Rhinolophus ferrumequinum: one gene and its partner. The protein of the gene in region 2 binds, or shares a complex with, the protein of the main gene of each other region. Links are inferred from orthologs where the notes say so. Each region holds a gene or a part of one and is shown on either strand. Other genes may lie near its edges.

The links. The genes of interacting proteins can lie anywhere in the genome.
Region 1: the proteins of GIPR (region 2) and GIP are in contact, whole or in part, in a cryo-EM structure (PDB 7RA3), measured with the Homo sapiens proteins. The link is inferred for Rhinolophus ferrumequinum from reciprocal best matches to the Homo sapiens genes GIPR and GIP. Residues at the interface, in NP_000155.1 of Homo sapiens: Gln30, Thr31, Ala32, Leu35, Tyr36, Trp39, Tyr68, Trp71, Leu88, Trp90, Arg101, Arg113, His115, Asn120, Gln130, Arg131, Leu134, Glu135, Leu137, Gln138, Tyr141, Tyr145, Arg183, Ile187, Arg190, Asp191, Pro197, Gly198, Pro199, Tyr200; in NP_004114.1 of Homo sapiens: Tyr52, Ala53, Glu54, Gly55, Thr56, Phe57, Ile58, Ser59, Asp60, Tyr61, Ser62, Ile63, Ala64, Met65, Asp66, Lys67, Ile68, His69, Gln70, Gln71, Phe73, Val74, Trp76, Leu77, Leu78, Lys81.

The regions. Positions count from the first base shown.
Region 1 is NC_046304.1:34,201,429-34,208,961, reverse strand, and holds the start of GIP (gastric inhibitory polypeptide), read right to left. Parts: upstream 3,013-7,533; 5' UTR 2,991-3,012; intron 2,139-2,990; 5' UTR 2,108-2,138; coding exon 2,034-2,107; intron 797-2,033; coding exon 650-796; intron 82-649; coding exon 1-81. UniProt on the Homo sapiens protein: Potent stimulator of insulin secretion and relatively poor inhibitor of gastric acid secretion.
Region 2 is NC_046298.1:41,979,501-41,987,017, forward strand, and holds the start of GIPR (gastric inhibitory polypeptide receptor), read left to right. Parts: upstream 1-4,516; 5' UTR 4,517-4,523; coding exon 4,524-4,595; intron 4,596-4,985; coding exon 4,986-5,085; intron 5,086-5,654; coding exon 5,655-5,762; intron 5,763-6,287; coding exon 6,288-6,391; intron 6,392-7,156; coding exon 7,157-7,260; intron 7,261-7,458; coding exon 7,459-7,517. UniProt on the Homo sapiens protein: This is a receptor for GIP. The activity of this receptor is mediated by G proteins which activate adenylyl cyclase.

The DNA of each region.
Region 1 (7,533 bases), on a different chromosome or scaffold from region 2:
TCTCTGGTCTCCTTCTTCCTGTTAGATTGATGGGCCAGCTCTAGGACCTGGGCCTCCCTCTGCGTGATGTTGTGTTTCCAGCTGGTAAGATAAAGATTAGGGCGTGAGTGGGGTTGGGGGCCATGCCAGATGTTCCCCAGTCCATAGATGCTGGAATCTTTTGGTACATCAACCCAAAGAGCAGAAGGTACCTCCTTCTCCAGTCAACCTCCCCACTACTCATCTTCAGCTGCTAGTGAACAGCTTTTCAGAATCTACCATGCTGACCAAACGGCGTGGGCAGGGAAAGAGAAGGAAGTAGGATGAGGGCAGTTTATCCTATTCCCAAGTCTGAAGTGGCCACCACCAAAAAGTCATTGGCAGCATTGTCATTGGATAAAGTCCATTGCCTTTATCCCCAATCCCTGGGGATCTTCTGTGAGCCCAACACATCTTCTCCAACCTCTCCCCTTAGAAGAAAAGAGTTGGAAATTGCCCTAGTCCTGCCCCTAGACTGGACTGCTGCCCAAACCAGGGCCACCATGATGTCCAGCTGCCCATCGTCGCCTAATCGAAAGGCGCCACCTGGAGTGTGCATCACACGGCTGTGTGGCCACAATGGACACCTGGGCTGGACATCGGAAGGTAGAGCTGGGCAAGGGGAACTCACGCATTCTTCTTCCCCTTCTGCGCCAGCAGCCAGTTCACAAAATCTTGTTGGCGGATCTTGTCCATGGCAATGCTGTAGTCACTGATGAAAGTCCCCTCGGCATACCTGCGGCCTCGAGGTTGGGAGCTGCTAGCCTTAGTGTGGAATCTGAGGGGCAAGGAGGGGCGAGAGAGAGAAACCAGGAAGCCAGGGAAGGGGTGCAGGGGATCCCAATGCCAGCATAAATGATTGTCGCTGACAGGAGGCCGACCTCTGAAAAGGAACCAGCTCGTTACTTGGGAGTCTGCTTTTATAGAGAACCCCCCTCTTGTCCATGCATCAAGCCCCCAGGACTTTATCCTCAGCTTAGGGCCCACTCCCTGTATCCTCAGTGTGTGGCTCTGGCTTCCGGGCAAAGAGGGATGGGGGAGGTCTCCTGTCCCAAAGGACTGAATAGCTCCTTCCGATACTCCTCTTGCCCTGGCCCTACCTGATTCAGGTCTTGGGTTCCCAGGGAACACTAAATAGTGAGCTCTTTTATCATAGCGCTTACTGAGTCAGGGCCCCTGGAAACCTTTAATACACACACTCACCTAATCCTCACGACACCCTTATTCTTTTTTAATTTTTTTGTTCAATTGCAATTGACATTCACTATTATATTAGTTTAGGCAGACACTATTTACACCTCTTTTAGTGAATAAGGAAACCAGGGTGCAGAGAGATTAATTTAGCACACAGCATAGGTGGGCAGCCTGGCCTAGGTCTATGTTAACTTCTACGTGACCTTGCCTCTCCTCGTATATGTCTCTGACAGCCGTGCCTCAAGTTCACATCGATGAATTTACACAGGCATATGGCTTAGCCTTGCATCTGAGAAGACCCAATTCTTTACTCAGACAAGTCTCTCTCGGTTCCCCAAAATACAAAGCCCCTTGCTATATTCCCTCCTAATACTCTGATTTTCCTCACAGTAATCGTGACAGTTTGCAAAGCGGCGAGGTGGTTCTTTGTCTGTTTTCCCCTTGGGTCTATACACTCCATGAGGGCGGGAGACCTTCATGGACCACTCCACAGAAATCCTCTGAGCCCTCTATAAAATTTGATCCAATGCACACATAAATGAATGGTGAAGGATTTCATTAGGAAGGGAGATACTGTCATCTACTTCAGACACTTGGCCACTGAGAAGTCCTCCCAGAGATCTAACCACAGTCTCTCCTGCTGCAACAGTAGCTCATAAGTACTCTCTGGTACCGTCCTTGCTTTGCACTCTGACTGCTGGCAGGATTTTCCCTCGAGCTTCTTTCATCTTAGCCTGAGGTTCCTCCCTTTCTCACCTCCCCCTTGAAAACCAGAACCCAGTCATCTCCCCAGGCCCTTCCCCTGCCCTTCTCACCCCTACCTGGAGTGACCCTCTTCCTTCTGTCCTAACACCACTGCCAGGAGCAGCGACACCAGCAGCAGAGATGTCTTCATGGCCACCGTCTTCCAAGGACTGTTTCCCGAGCTAAGAGAGAAAAGGAGCAGGATGAGGTGGAAGCACTGTGCTGAGGGAGCAGCCAGTACGGCAACGCACTGCTGGTGTGCCTCAGAGCCTGTGGGGGTGCTGAAAGCTGGGCTACACTGAGTCCTGAGGTTTGGGGCTCTTCTAAGAGGCTGGAGCAGCATCTTGGGGAGGGTGAAGGGTGCTGAGCATTAGAGGTGTCGGTAACTAGAAAGAACATGGAATCTGGCCAAGAGGTGAACCTTCTTTTTGTTGTTGTTGTTTTTAAGTAGAGTCCGAGAGGGCAATGGGGGAGAGATCCAGGCAGAAGAAAGCAGAAAAGACCCGTGTGCTTGGGCAGCCCCCCTTCCCGGTTCCAATGGCTAGACATCACAGGCATGTGGTTTGGCAAGATTCTCCCCTTAGAGCCCTCCAAAGTTCATACCCGCTAGCTTTCCAGCTCTCAAATTGTCTGTCACCTAAATCATCATAGCCCTCTTGCCCTAAGTGAAAACCACATGTAGAACCATCCCATTCTCCCCTTTCCAGGCTTTTCTATCGCGACTCAGGAAGTTCTTTCTGAAGTCTGACCCTTCTACCGAGAGCTTGCCCCAGGGGGTCTTCAGCAGAGATGAATAGCAGTGAAGAACCTTCTTCCCAAGCCCCAAAAACCAAAGCTAGACTAGAGATGAGCAGGCTGCAAGACTTCATCTTCCTGCCTTCGTCACCTGGGTGTTAAACGAACCATCAGAGCCAACTTCTTATTTCTTGTATAGAGGAAAAGAAAGTGAGATGCAAGGGTGCCGAGCATCTCAGGGGTGCCCAGTCCACTTCTCTCCAGTGTCTGTCCATCCCCTGTCCCAGCTGCTCTCTTACCAGATTCCTTTTCTGGCTCTTCCAGAAGAAGGTCAGGGCGGGGATCTCTTCCTCCTACCTTCTGGCCCTTTGGAACCTGCCTCAAGAAAAATCTGCTGGAGCTCCTTTATATCCAGGCATCACAGACCCGCTGATTAGCCTAAAAGCATCTTATCTCAAGAAATTAAGTGCACAGCTCCCGCCACATTAAGTCCATTTTACACGTAATAAAGTTTCCCTTTTCACCTGAACTGTGCTAATTGGTGATTAACATTTGGGTATTTCCAGCCGTTGTCTGGGCCCTGCCCGTGGGTAGGGTACCTTAAGTGCCCCTTTTCTTCTTCCCCCTCCTCCCTTCTGGGCACAGGGCTCAGTATTCTTCTGTCTCGCTCTTCTTTTAGAAAGGACACCTTCAGTGAGGGCAGACTTGGGTAGGGTGGTACTAACTGGGGGAGCAAGACGCTCCCATAGGCAATAGGCTACTTCTGGGGGGGAGTGGGCAGGGCTGCGTTCATTTGAACCTCAGCTCTGGATAGCGGCCCATAGCGCTGGCAATGTGGCAATGTCCCCATTGTGATATCTAGGGGGTGGTCCCAGCCAGCTGTGGAAAAAGCTGAAGAAAGAGAGGGCAGAGGGTTGAGGGAACGTGAAAGGTGGAGGTTCCCTGGGGTAACGAGGTGAACTGAGAACTTACACTCAAGCTGTCTTTCTTCTTAGGAGCAGAATAGAGTAGGGAAAAGAGGCACATTTACACCTGGGGAACTCAGAAGAAGGTGGGGCAGCTATAACTCTATTTATCTGTAAAGATTTATGAGATCTAATCCTCTCCAAATGCACTACTGTCCTATATAAGAGAAATCGGTGGTCCGGTCTCTGGGGACCACTGAGGTCGTGTTTTGCCTGTCAGACTGGAGGGCTCTCCAGGGCAAGGACTTCGTCGCCTTGATCAGACTGGGGGCTCTCTGAGAGCAGGGGTGTGAGCTAGGGGCTAGATCTTCTCCATCCTACAGAGGCTTCCTGAGGCTAAGGGCTGTGTCTGCCCCTCAGCCTGGAGACTCACTTGGGTGCTGCTCCCTTTGCCTTCCTACAAGTATTTAGTACTTAGTACAGCGGCTCTCAGTCTAGAAGGTGCAGAGCACAGACTGCATTTTTGGTGGACTCCCAATGCCTCCTTCGCAGGCTCTCCCTTCTCCGCTTGTCCTGGGTACTTTCAACCATAAACAGCCAAGTTCATGTTCTGCCTATTACCATGTTTCCCCGAAAATAAGACCTACTCGGACAATCAGCTCTAATGTGTCTTTTGGAGCAAAAATTAGTATAAGACCTAGTCTTATTTTACTATAATACAAGACCTGGTCTTTAATATAATATAATATATAATATAATGTAATATAATATAATAAAATATACTGGGTCGTATATTAATTTTTGCTCCAAAAGACACATTAGAGCTGATTGTCCTGCTAGGTCTTATTTTCGGGGAAACAGGATAGCTCCAGGGACTAATAAAGGCCACTTTCCTTTCCAGGTGAACTCCCCAGCCTGGGATCAGCTCCAGCATGAAATTAAGTGCTTGTGTGGGATGAGAGGCAACCAGAGTAGGAGGGCAATTCACCTCTGCTTCCTAGAGACCTCGCCCGCACACCACCCATTTTTCACCACGTAGAAAAGCTTCTCTCTGGGCAGGCTCTCCAAATTCCATCTCCTAGCTATCAACGGGTAGAGATTAGAGATCCATTCAGATTTGGCCTCCAAAGGGGATGTTGGGGGCTGCTTGTGATCCTGCTTCCTGTTGAGCAATATAGTTAATGGGCTCAGAAGGGTTTACGTCAAAACCCTGGAGGCAGAAGGTGTGCAAGAAGGGTGGACATCATTTCCTGGGATCCCTAAGTCTGATGTCAAACCAGAGTAAAGAAGATCGTGTGGTGGGCCCTGGCAGTCCTGAGCCTCTGGCTGGGGCTCTACGGATTTGTTTTGGGGGGTGGGCTGCTCTGAAGGCCAGTGTGCTTTAAGTCCCCACTTAACCTCTTGGAGGGGAACTCTCTGCAGCTCCCCTCCCTGTTTCCTTTTGATCTCTGGTTCTCATGCCATGCAGTGGACAGACTACGAAGAATGTGGCCAGGGCCCTGGGGGAGGGAGGGATGTGGAGATCAGAGAAAATGCTAAACTCCCAGGGAACCCACAGGTCCCCCACAAGGCATATTGGGAGGCTCAGGAATGGCAATAATGGCCTTGGGAAGCTGGACTTGATCAAAATAGTTTAGGAAATCCCACTGGTGCCTTGGTCAGCCAGTCCGTGCCGCCATGAAAAGTGCCCTGGTGTGCAGAATCCAGTGCAGTGCAAGGGTAGGGTGGGGAGGGGAAGCTCAGGAGGGGGCAGAGCCCCAGTCCACAGCGGAGAATTTCCAGGATGTGAGGGGTCAGAGAGGACAGGAGGGATGGGGAGGCAGGAGAACACCCCCAATTGGCCCAAAGCCCAGATACAAAGGCTGCCGGCCCAGACAGGTGGAAAGCGTTGTGGGGCATGGTTCGGGAAATGTCTGAGGAGTCCTAGAAGTCAGGGAGTCTGTGTGGTGAGGGAGTGACGGCAGTACTGCTGCAAGAGAACCCAGGCTCCTGCTCTCCAGACCCTCCTGGCTTCTGAATTGAGGCCCCAGGAATGAGAACTGTCACAGCAGGAGAGCCTTTGGGACTTGCTGGCTCTTCCAGCTCAAGATGGTGAGTCACCACCCCCCAGGCTGACAGGACCACTGTAGACATTCCAGGCTGAGCTCTGCAGCCAGGAGAGGGTGACTCAGAAGGCTGGCTTCAGTCTCCCTGCCATGGACTCTGCTTTTGAAGTTCACTTGGTCTTCATGCTCCCTGGCTGACTCAGAGCGCAGACACCCCTCTCTGATCTCTCTTACAACAGGTGGCAGATTTATTCTCTCCTGTAGAAGAGACAAGAACTCGAACCCTCACAAACTTTGCTGAGTCATCTGGTCCATCCTGATTCCTAGAAGGACTACCTGCAGCCTTTCCTCCCCAAACACATCACATAGTCATGATCCCAAACATTTTTTCCCATACCAGCCCCCCTACCATTCATGGAAGATCCAACTTTCCAGAAGGATCTTCAAGAAAGAATATACTACCTACAGCTTCTTTTGGCCATCTGCTACAGGAAGCAGTTTGGAAGTTCCCTCTCAATTCTACCCTCAATCCCTCTTGCTATTTTCAAAGGCTATTTTGTTTGCTTTTGTCAAGAAAAAGAGGTTGGCGCTTAGTAGTTGCAGCCTAATCCATGGGAGGAGAAGAGCAGTGCACAGTTAGAGCTGGGGGGAGTATTCACAAAGTTCTCATTGTGGGGAAGGAAAGAACTGGTGATACATTTAGGATAAAAGGCCGAAGGGCTGGGCAGCATTCCTGAGCTCTCTTCTAGTTGGGAGCACATCCGAGGGAAAGGAAGAGAGGAGTAAGAAGGGAGGGCTTTCCCTTCCTTTTCCTTGCAAGGGGATATGAGGATGGAACAGTTTCAGGGTCCCCAGTGGAGCAGTTTCTAGGGTCACCAATGAACTCCCAAGATACACATACACATTCTTGCAGTGGGTATGGGGAAGGCCTTCTGCAACTTCAGAAAACATTCCCCACCCCCAACCCCGTTAATTAGATTAGGGAGTCGCCCGGTGGGGTGAAGAAAGAGAAGGAGGAGGATTCAAACCCCAGCGCCACCCACCCACGCACCACTCCTGAGTTATGCTCAGCTTTGGGCAAAACCCTTATCCACTCTAAGCCTTAGCTTGGCCATCTTTAAACCGGGAATAAGAACACAAATCTGCCCTGCCTACCTCATAGGTAAGTGTGAAGTTAGTGTCTTGTTAACTTTAAGGCGTCCTGCCAGAGTGCTGGCTGGTGGTTTTCTCTGGAGTGATCTCCTCCATCTCACTCTATGATGAGAATTAAATAAGATGAAATACTAAAGCCAGGCTGACTCAGCCCAGCACCTGGGACATGGAAGGCTGTGAAATTCCATATTAGGAGTGAAGGCTTTGGAGACTGATCCACCTATGCTGACTAGGAGGGTGATTAAAGCAGTTTACCGTCTCTGTGCTTCGGTTTCCCTTTCTGTAAAAGGAGGGAGGTAATAGTTCCTGCCTCAAAAAATTGATCTGGGAATCATGTATACTTAGAAGATACACTATGTTATATTAGATCTTGATACATTACTTTTCTTTTGTAGCATAACAAATAACTCCAAATTTTAGCAGCTTAAAATGAGGAACATTTATTATCTCAGTTTCGGAGGCTCAGGAATCTGGGAGGGGTGTAGCGGGTGGTTCTGGCTCAGGGTCTCTCACCGAGTCTCAGGGAGCTGTCAGCTGAGCTGCAATCTCAGCAAGCCCCTCCCACACTGTAGACCACCTTTTTAGCTCACTCTTACGCATGGAGGCTGAGAGCTTCAGTTCCTCACCATGTGGGTCTCTCCACAGGGCTGCTCACCACGTGGCTTCTTCCCCAGAGCAAGGGTATGGACCACGATGAAAGCCTAAATGTCTTTAAAAATTTAAATCCAGAGGTGACAGCC
Region 2 (7,517 bases):
CTGTCTTTGGAGCACTGTCCCTCTCTGTCTCACTGGATCCCCTGTGCCTGTGTCACAGGCTCTCAGTCTCCCCTTCCTAGGTCTTCTCTCTCTGAGTCTCTGTCTCTGTGCCTCTCTTTGGGTTCCCATGTTTGTGGGTGTGTCTCTTTCAGTCTCTGTCTCTCTTGCTATCTCTCTCTGTCTCTGGGTCTCTTTCTTTCAGGCCTCCTCTCAGCAGTCCTGAATCTCAGGAGGCCATCTCAACCTCCCATTTCTGGCATCAGTCTTCGTGGGGCGCCCCCTCTTTCCATCCCTCTCTGCCTCATTTCTCCTGCACCATCTGCTGCCACTCCAGGCCCCTGCCTGCTCCCACACGCTCTGCTTGGCCAGGCAGCCCCATGGGGAGGCACAGGCCCTCCAGCTTCCTCCCCACCACTGCATCCTGAAGTGGGGGTGCACGGCCTGGTCATTGCTGGGGTGGGGGCAAGGGGACAACAGCCTGGAAACCCAGGGCCAGAGGCAATGGAGAGAGAGAAACAGATAGGCACCCAGCAAGAAGATGGGAAAAAAAGGAGAAGAGAAAGGAGAAAGTGTAAAGAGAGGCAAAAACAGGCTGATCTCAGTATGAGAGAGAGCAAAAGAAATAAGCAGAGGAGCAGAATGAAACTGGAGGAAAGAGAAAAGACAGCTCTGCAAGCAAGAGAGGAAGATAGACAAACTGAGGGGGGTCTTGGAGAAAAGAAGGAAGGAGAAATTCAGATCAAAGAGAGAGAGAGAGAGAGAGGGTGGCCTGGATAGAAATGGACAACAGAGAGAGAAGGGCAGAGGAGAGGGCACAGTTGCTTCTCTACCTGCAGTTTCCGGAAGCTCTGAGCACAAGAACTACGGAATTCTCTCCAAAGATCCAAAGAGTGCCCGTGTGGCCGTGCTGCCCTCTCCCCAGACGCTGGGAGACTGAAGAGGACCCAGGAGGGCTGACGGGCAGGGGGCCACTCAGGGACCTGGGCATCTCCCCTCCTGCCCTCCATGCCCCCCCCCCCAGTGCTATTCTGCCCTGTGTTTTCCTGGAGGGGCTGATGGGGGTGGTGCTGAGGGGTTATGAGCCATGGCTCCTGACTCGGTCGTCTCTCCTAAGACCTCATCTTTCAGGCTCTCTCTCCCTTCACCCTCCCCATCTTCATCTCTCAATATCTCTGTCTCTCCGTTTATACCTCTTCTCTGTCTCTCTCCCTCTCTTGGTCCGTTTTTTCTCTCCTAGTTTCTCTCTCTCCATTTCTCCTTATTTCTGTCTCTTTCGAATTCTTTTCATTTGTCTCTCTTGGTCTGTCTCCTCCTCTTGGTCTCTCTCGTCTCTGTCTCTTCCTGTCTCTGTTTGTCTTCGATCTTTCTTGGTTTCTTTTCCTGTCTCTCTCACCACCTCAATTCCCTTCCTCTGCTTCTCCCTCCCTTCTTTTCTCTCCCCTCCTCCATTCCAGCCTTTCCCCCTCCACCTTCCCAGTCCCACCAGAGAGACCCCTAGGCCCTCTGGGGGCCAAGGAGAGACTCCCTCCCAATCCCAGCCTCTCCCCGAGGTGCCGAGGTGCTGGGCAATCTCTGACCCCTTTCCCTCTCCCCGTGAACTGAGCCTTTCCCAGGACCCAAAGGGCGCCAGGAATGTAGGGCAGAGAGCAGGGAGGCCAGCTGGAGGCCAGGAAGCCAGGACCCCCCCAAGTCACTCCCCTCCCCCAACTTGTCTCCTTTTGGTGCTGGACCTCACGCCATCCCTTACTCCCTGCCCCTCCTGGAGCCTCTGGGCCTCAGTTTCTCCTCTGCAAAATGGGCAGACTGGCCTCTGACCCACTTATCTTATAAGTCTCAGGGGAGTGTGTGCTCACAAATGTTAATAGCATGATTAATGTGCATGAATTGGTGGTTTGTGTTAAAGGGGGATGAGAGTACTGAGAGCTGGGACTCCCTGTCTAAGTCCTACCTCTTACATGTACAGATGTGCCCCATATTTTAGGGCAAAGGAAGAGACTGGAAGTGGAGATTGTGAGGTGTGTGAGTCAGTGTGATTGTGGCCATGAGACCATGTGAGGCTGTGGGTTTGTGTGTGATTGGGGGATGTTGGTATGTGATCCCGTGTGCCTTGTGCGTGCGGGTGAGTCTGTGATGGAGAGAGTGGTATATCTGTACAACCATGGCACTTGATGTGACTGTGAGGGTGACAGTGTGACAAGGTGACGTTGGGAGCCTGTGAAAGTGTGTGCCTCAGTGATGGGGAATGTGTGTTGTTGGGATGTGACTGTAGACCCTGTAGGTGATTATGTGAAGTGTGAAACAATGTGTGTGGTTGTGTAACATTGTGTGTAGCCTTCAGATTGTGTCATTAAAGGAGTATATCGGGGTGGCTGATTAGCTCAGTTGGTTAGAGCATGGGGTTAATAACAACGTTGCCAGTATGATCCCCACATGGGCCACTGTGAGCTGCGCCCTTCTTAAATTAAAAAAAAAAAAAAAGGAGTATATGACTATGTGAGAAACCATATAACTGTTCATTTATCTCATCAACAGTCATTCTTTGAGCCTTTCTGCTGTGCCCAAACCTGTGCTGAATGACGCTGAAGACCCAGTGGTGACAGAGACGCCCTGGCCCTGTCTTCACAGGGCACACAGGCCAGTGGGGGAGACAGCTGGTGATGTGACCTCCATGAATGTGTGATTGACACAATATCACTGGAACTATGGAACGTTGTGATTGTGTCACTGTGTGAGTGGAGGAGTCCACGCCCCATATATGTTGCTGTGTGTCATTGTGAATGACTGTCAACCTTTGGGTGAGAGACCTTGGCTCTCTGGGTGTGACTGTAGCTTGTATGACTATGAATGACTGTGAGGAACAGTCTGTGAGATTCTGTTCTGAGCCTCTCTGTGGCTAAGTGAATGGGATTATATGTGACACTGTGCCTGTGACTGACTGCGTGACTGCTTGCAGCTCTGTGGGCGATGGCTGGGTGGGACACTATGAGAGACTGTGTATTGGGGGGATCCTTAGGATGATGACTCCGTGACTGCTCTCCCACGTGATCTTGAGTGACTGTGATACTCACAAGTGACTGGCCCCCTGCTCTGGGTCTTTGCCCCAGAGCTCCCCCCTTCCTTCCCTGGCCCGCCCTGGCCCCGCCCCCTCCCACCACCACAGGCTGTCACCTATTCCAGAGCCCAGGCGAGACAGTGGAGGCAGCAGCGGAGGCAGCCGCAGGACAGGTGAGGGCTCTCCCTATCCTAGCCCCCATGTCCCCCTCAAGTCTCTGGGTCCCTATCTTTCTCTCTGTTTCTTAGCCTGTGACTATGTCTTTCTGTCTCTCTGTGCCCACAATCTCTTCCTCCTCTCTGTCTCTGTCTCCCAATTCCTTTCTTTTTTTCAGTGTTCACAAGATGACCATTCACTTTATTAATTTTCAAATTATCAAGCCCAAAACAATGTCCACATAAGTTATTAGTCAAGCCGTTGTTTCTCAGCCTAGTTGTGTAGGACCCAGCTCCCTGGCCCATGCTGGTGTTATGAGCCTTGCGCTCCCCCCTGGCTGAGGCAGTCGGTTGCCTGTCGTCGGTCAACAACTGCTCACAGCAGCTCACGGCAGCTCTCGCCGGCTGCCGGCCATCCCAATTTCTATTTAGTCTCTTGATAGCTCTGTACCTCCATCTCTCTTTCCTCCATTTTCTGTGTCTCTCTCCCATGTCTCTCTTCTCTTTGTCTCCTAGCCCACATTTCTGCCTCTGTCTTTCGGTTTCTGGTCTCTTGCTGTGCGTCTCTTCTATCTCCATGTATCTCTGTCTCTATATTTCTGTCTCATGCATCTCTGACTTCGCGTCTGTCTTTCTGGGGCTCCATGTGAGATCCTGCCGGCCCCCGCTTTCCCTGCATGGTGCTAGATGGGGGGTGTTGGGAGTTAGACCAATGTCCAGACATATGGGTCCCTACAAACCTAAGCCCAGGGTCTGACGCCTCTCTAGTCGCTAAGGAGAGGGTTGTCCAATCCACTCAGGCTTTATCCACAGCGAGGAAAGTTTATAAGGTCGGGTTCCTATCTGCGATTTGAAAACCCTTTGGGCTCGGAGAGTGGGAACTCCGAGGGTCATTTCCATGCCTGACGGTTTCTGTGCCCTCCTTTCCAAGATGGTCCCCAGGTTCCCCGTAGTCTCTAGGTCTAGACTCCCTCTGACATTAGTGCTTCCGCCCAGTGCAGCTCTAGGGCAACCGCGCCCTCAGCAAACACCCCCCCTTCCACAGCCGCTGCTCCAGAAACAGCTGGGGGTGAGCCCCGGAATCACGTGTCGAATCCCAGCCTCGCCCCCTCCTCACGCGTCTCTCCCCCCAAATTCTCACGTGTGTGGACAGCGGGGGGCGCTGGCTCTGAGTCCGCGTGTATGAATTCCGGAGCCGAGTGGCTCTAGGGCGGAGGGCAGAGGCTCCGGATTTTGCTCTTGGACCCTCCAGGCCGAGCTGCTCCCCCGTCCGAAGGACCGAACCTCCTCGCTCCCCATGCCCCGCCGCCCTCACGATGACCAACTGCCCGTCCTGGCGGCTGCTACTGCTGTTCTCGCTGTGGGGACCACTGCTCTGGATGGCAGAGGTGAGGACTCGAGTTGCTATAGGAGTTCAAGGCTTGGAGGGAGATTTGGGGGCGGTTTTAAGTCTTGCCCCACTGCCGAGAGAGTTTTAAGACTGCCCCACTTGCCAAGATTCAAGTTTTGATGGTTGTTTCTCTAGTCTCTCTTCTTTCGCCCTCAAATCCTCCTGATGATTTCCAGCCACTCCCCTAATTTTCCTGGAGGTGTTCAGTCCCCCACAGCAACTCCCCTGGTGGTTTCTAGGTACCCCACAAGAGTTAGAAGAGGTTTCTCAGCCACCCAAGACTGGGCAAAGCGAACAGCCCCCCCTCTAAGTCCCTCTCGGGTGTCTGGCCCACACCATCTGGGAGCGGGTGTCGGTCGGGGGGGTCCTCCCTTCTTTCTTTCCGTAGACAGGCTCTGAGGGGCAGACGGCGGGGGAGCTGTACCAGCGCTGGGAACGCTACCGCAGGGAGTGCCAGGAGACGCTGGAGACAGCGGAGTCCCCAGCGGGTAGGAGTGGGGAAGGGGTGGGCTGGGTGGATGGGAAGGGCTGGGGCTGAGAGGGGTGGGCTTGGGGCGGGCCTAGGACTAACGGGCGGGGCCTGAGAGAGGAGATGTCTGGGGTAGATGCGGGCTGGGTTGGAGAGGCCTGGGTGGGCTTGGCCTCGGTGGGAAAGACTTAGAGCTGAGAGCGTGGGGTCTGGGGAGAAACTCGGATTAGTGGGAGAGGCCTGGAAAGAAGCTTGAAATGGGCAGGGTTTTGGGTCGGGCTGCACTGAATGGGTAGAGCCTGAAATGAAGCGCGAAGGGGGTGGGGCTTGGGGTGGAGCCTAGGAAGGGCCTCGCAGAGTGGGAAGCACGTGCACTGGGAACTTGCATGGGGTGGGGGCAGAGCCGAGAGTGAGGCTGGAAGGATGGGCGCGGCCTCGGGGTGCGATGGACAGAGCTGTGGAGAAGCAGGGATGGACCACTCTAGGTGGGCGGGGCTAGGGCCGGGCTTGTTGTGTGTAAGGTGGGGAGAAGCGTTGGGCTCAGGGTGCAGTAGGTCCCCCGACATCTGACCCCCACGCCCACCCCAGGCCTCGCCTGCAACGGGTCCTTCGACATGTACGTCTGCTGGGACTACGCTGCACCTAACGCCACTGCCCGTGCGTCTTGCCCCTGGTACCTGCCCTGGTATCGCCATGGTGAGTGGCCCCCAGGCTCTCCCTGAAACAAACAGCTCCTAACTCTTGCCCCAGACACCACTCCCTCAAAGCTCACCTACACCCCATCTCCTGCTCCTCTCTGTCTGGGTGTTTCCTCCTGTATGTCCAACCCTGGCTGGGTCACCCTGATCCTGGCTCTGTCACCTAATGCCCCTCCTCTGTCTCTGTCTCTGTATCTCTGAGGACCACCGGGTTCTTACTTTCTCTTTTCTGAGTCTGTCTCTGGGCATCCTGGTCTTCCTGTCCTAACTAGCTATGTGGCCCAGGACAGTTTATTTAACTTCTTTATGCCTCAACCTCCTCATCTGTAAAATGGGATTGATGACAGTACCTATTCCATGGGCTTCTTATGAATATTAATTAATACGTGTAAAATGCTATATGAGGGTTTTTATCATCACCATCACTTTGGCTCTCTCTCTCTCTCTCTCTCTCTCTCTGCCTTTTTATCACAGTTGGTCTTTCTGTCTCCATCTCTTTCTCTGTGCCTCTGATCCCCTACAGTGGCTGCGGGCTTTGTCCTCCGCCAGTGTGGCAGTGATGGCCAATGGGGACCTTGGAGAGACCATTCTCAGTGTGAGAACCCAGAGAAGAATGAGACCTTTCAGGTAAAAATAGGTTAGAGATTCAGATTGAACATCCAAGGAAAGGTGAAAAGGCAGCATCCTCATACCGAGCCTGAAACCCCTTGTACTGTTCAGAGCTCTGGGTTCCAAGGGACAGAAACTCAACTTAAACTTGCTTGATGATGGAGAAAAAAATGTACTGGCTTCTGTGATTGAAAAGTAGAAGGCTACAGCCTCAGGCACAGCTGGATCTAGGTGCTCAAATGATGTCAGGAATCTCTTGTCTCTCACCATATCATGCCTGTTTTTTCTGTTCTGGCCTCATCTTTTCTGTGGGGTGGAAAAGGTGTTCCCCATTAGCACCAGGCTCACATCCCACCAACCAAGCGACACTGCGGAGATTGAACTTCGTTCTCAATAGCTCCAGCATAATAATGTCCCAGGACTGACTCTTATTGGCCTGGTTTGGGTCATATGCCCACCCTGGACTAATCACTCTGTGTGTGTGTGTGTGTGTGTGTGTGTGTGTGTGTGTGTGTGACATGGCGATGGGGACGTGGGGGGGTAGATATAATGCTCTGATTGGCTGGTCACATATCCAGCCCTGGAGCTGAGTGGTAAAGTCAGTCCCACTCAAATAAGAGTAGCTGGATCCCTGAGAGAAAATTGGGGTGCTGGGCAAGAACAAAGAGCAGAAGAGACAGGATAGGAGAGGCTAACTGGTGGGGGAGGATTTGGTAGATACCTAGCCCCTTCTGGTCCTGGGGGAAGAGCTGAGCTCTGTGCCTTTGTCCCCCACCCCCACAGGACCAAAGGCTGATCTTGGAACGGCTACAGATTGTGTACACTGTCGGCTATTCCCTGTCACTGGCCACACTGCTGCTGGCCCTGCTCATCTTGAGTTTCTTCAGGTGGGACACCCCAGCCTGGAGCGGCAGCGGCAGTGACTGGGCCCCACTTTGCCCAGTAAGATGGAATGGTCAGACTCCACCATCAACAAGCACCCAATGGTGGTTCTGTGGGAAGACGGGCCATGAGGTGGTTTAAGGGGCTCTAGATAGTGGGGACAGGTCTCCAGGGGTCTCCAGACTGCTTCCCAAACCCCGCAGGCGGCTGCACTGCACTCGCAACTACGTCCACATCAACCTGTTCACATCTTTCATGCTGC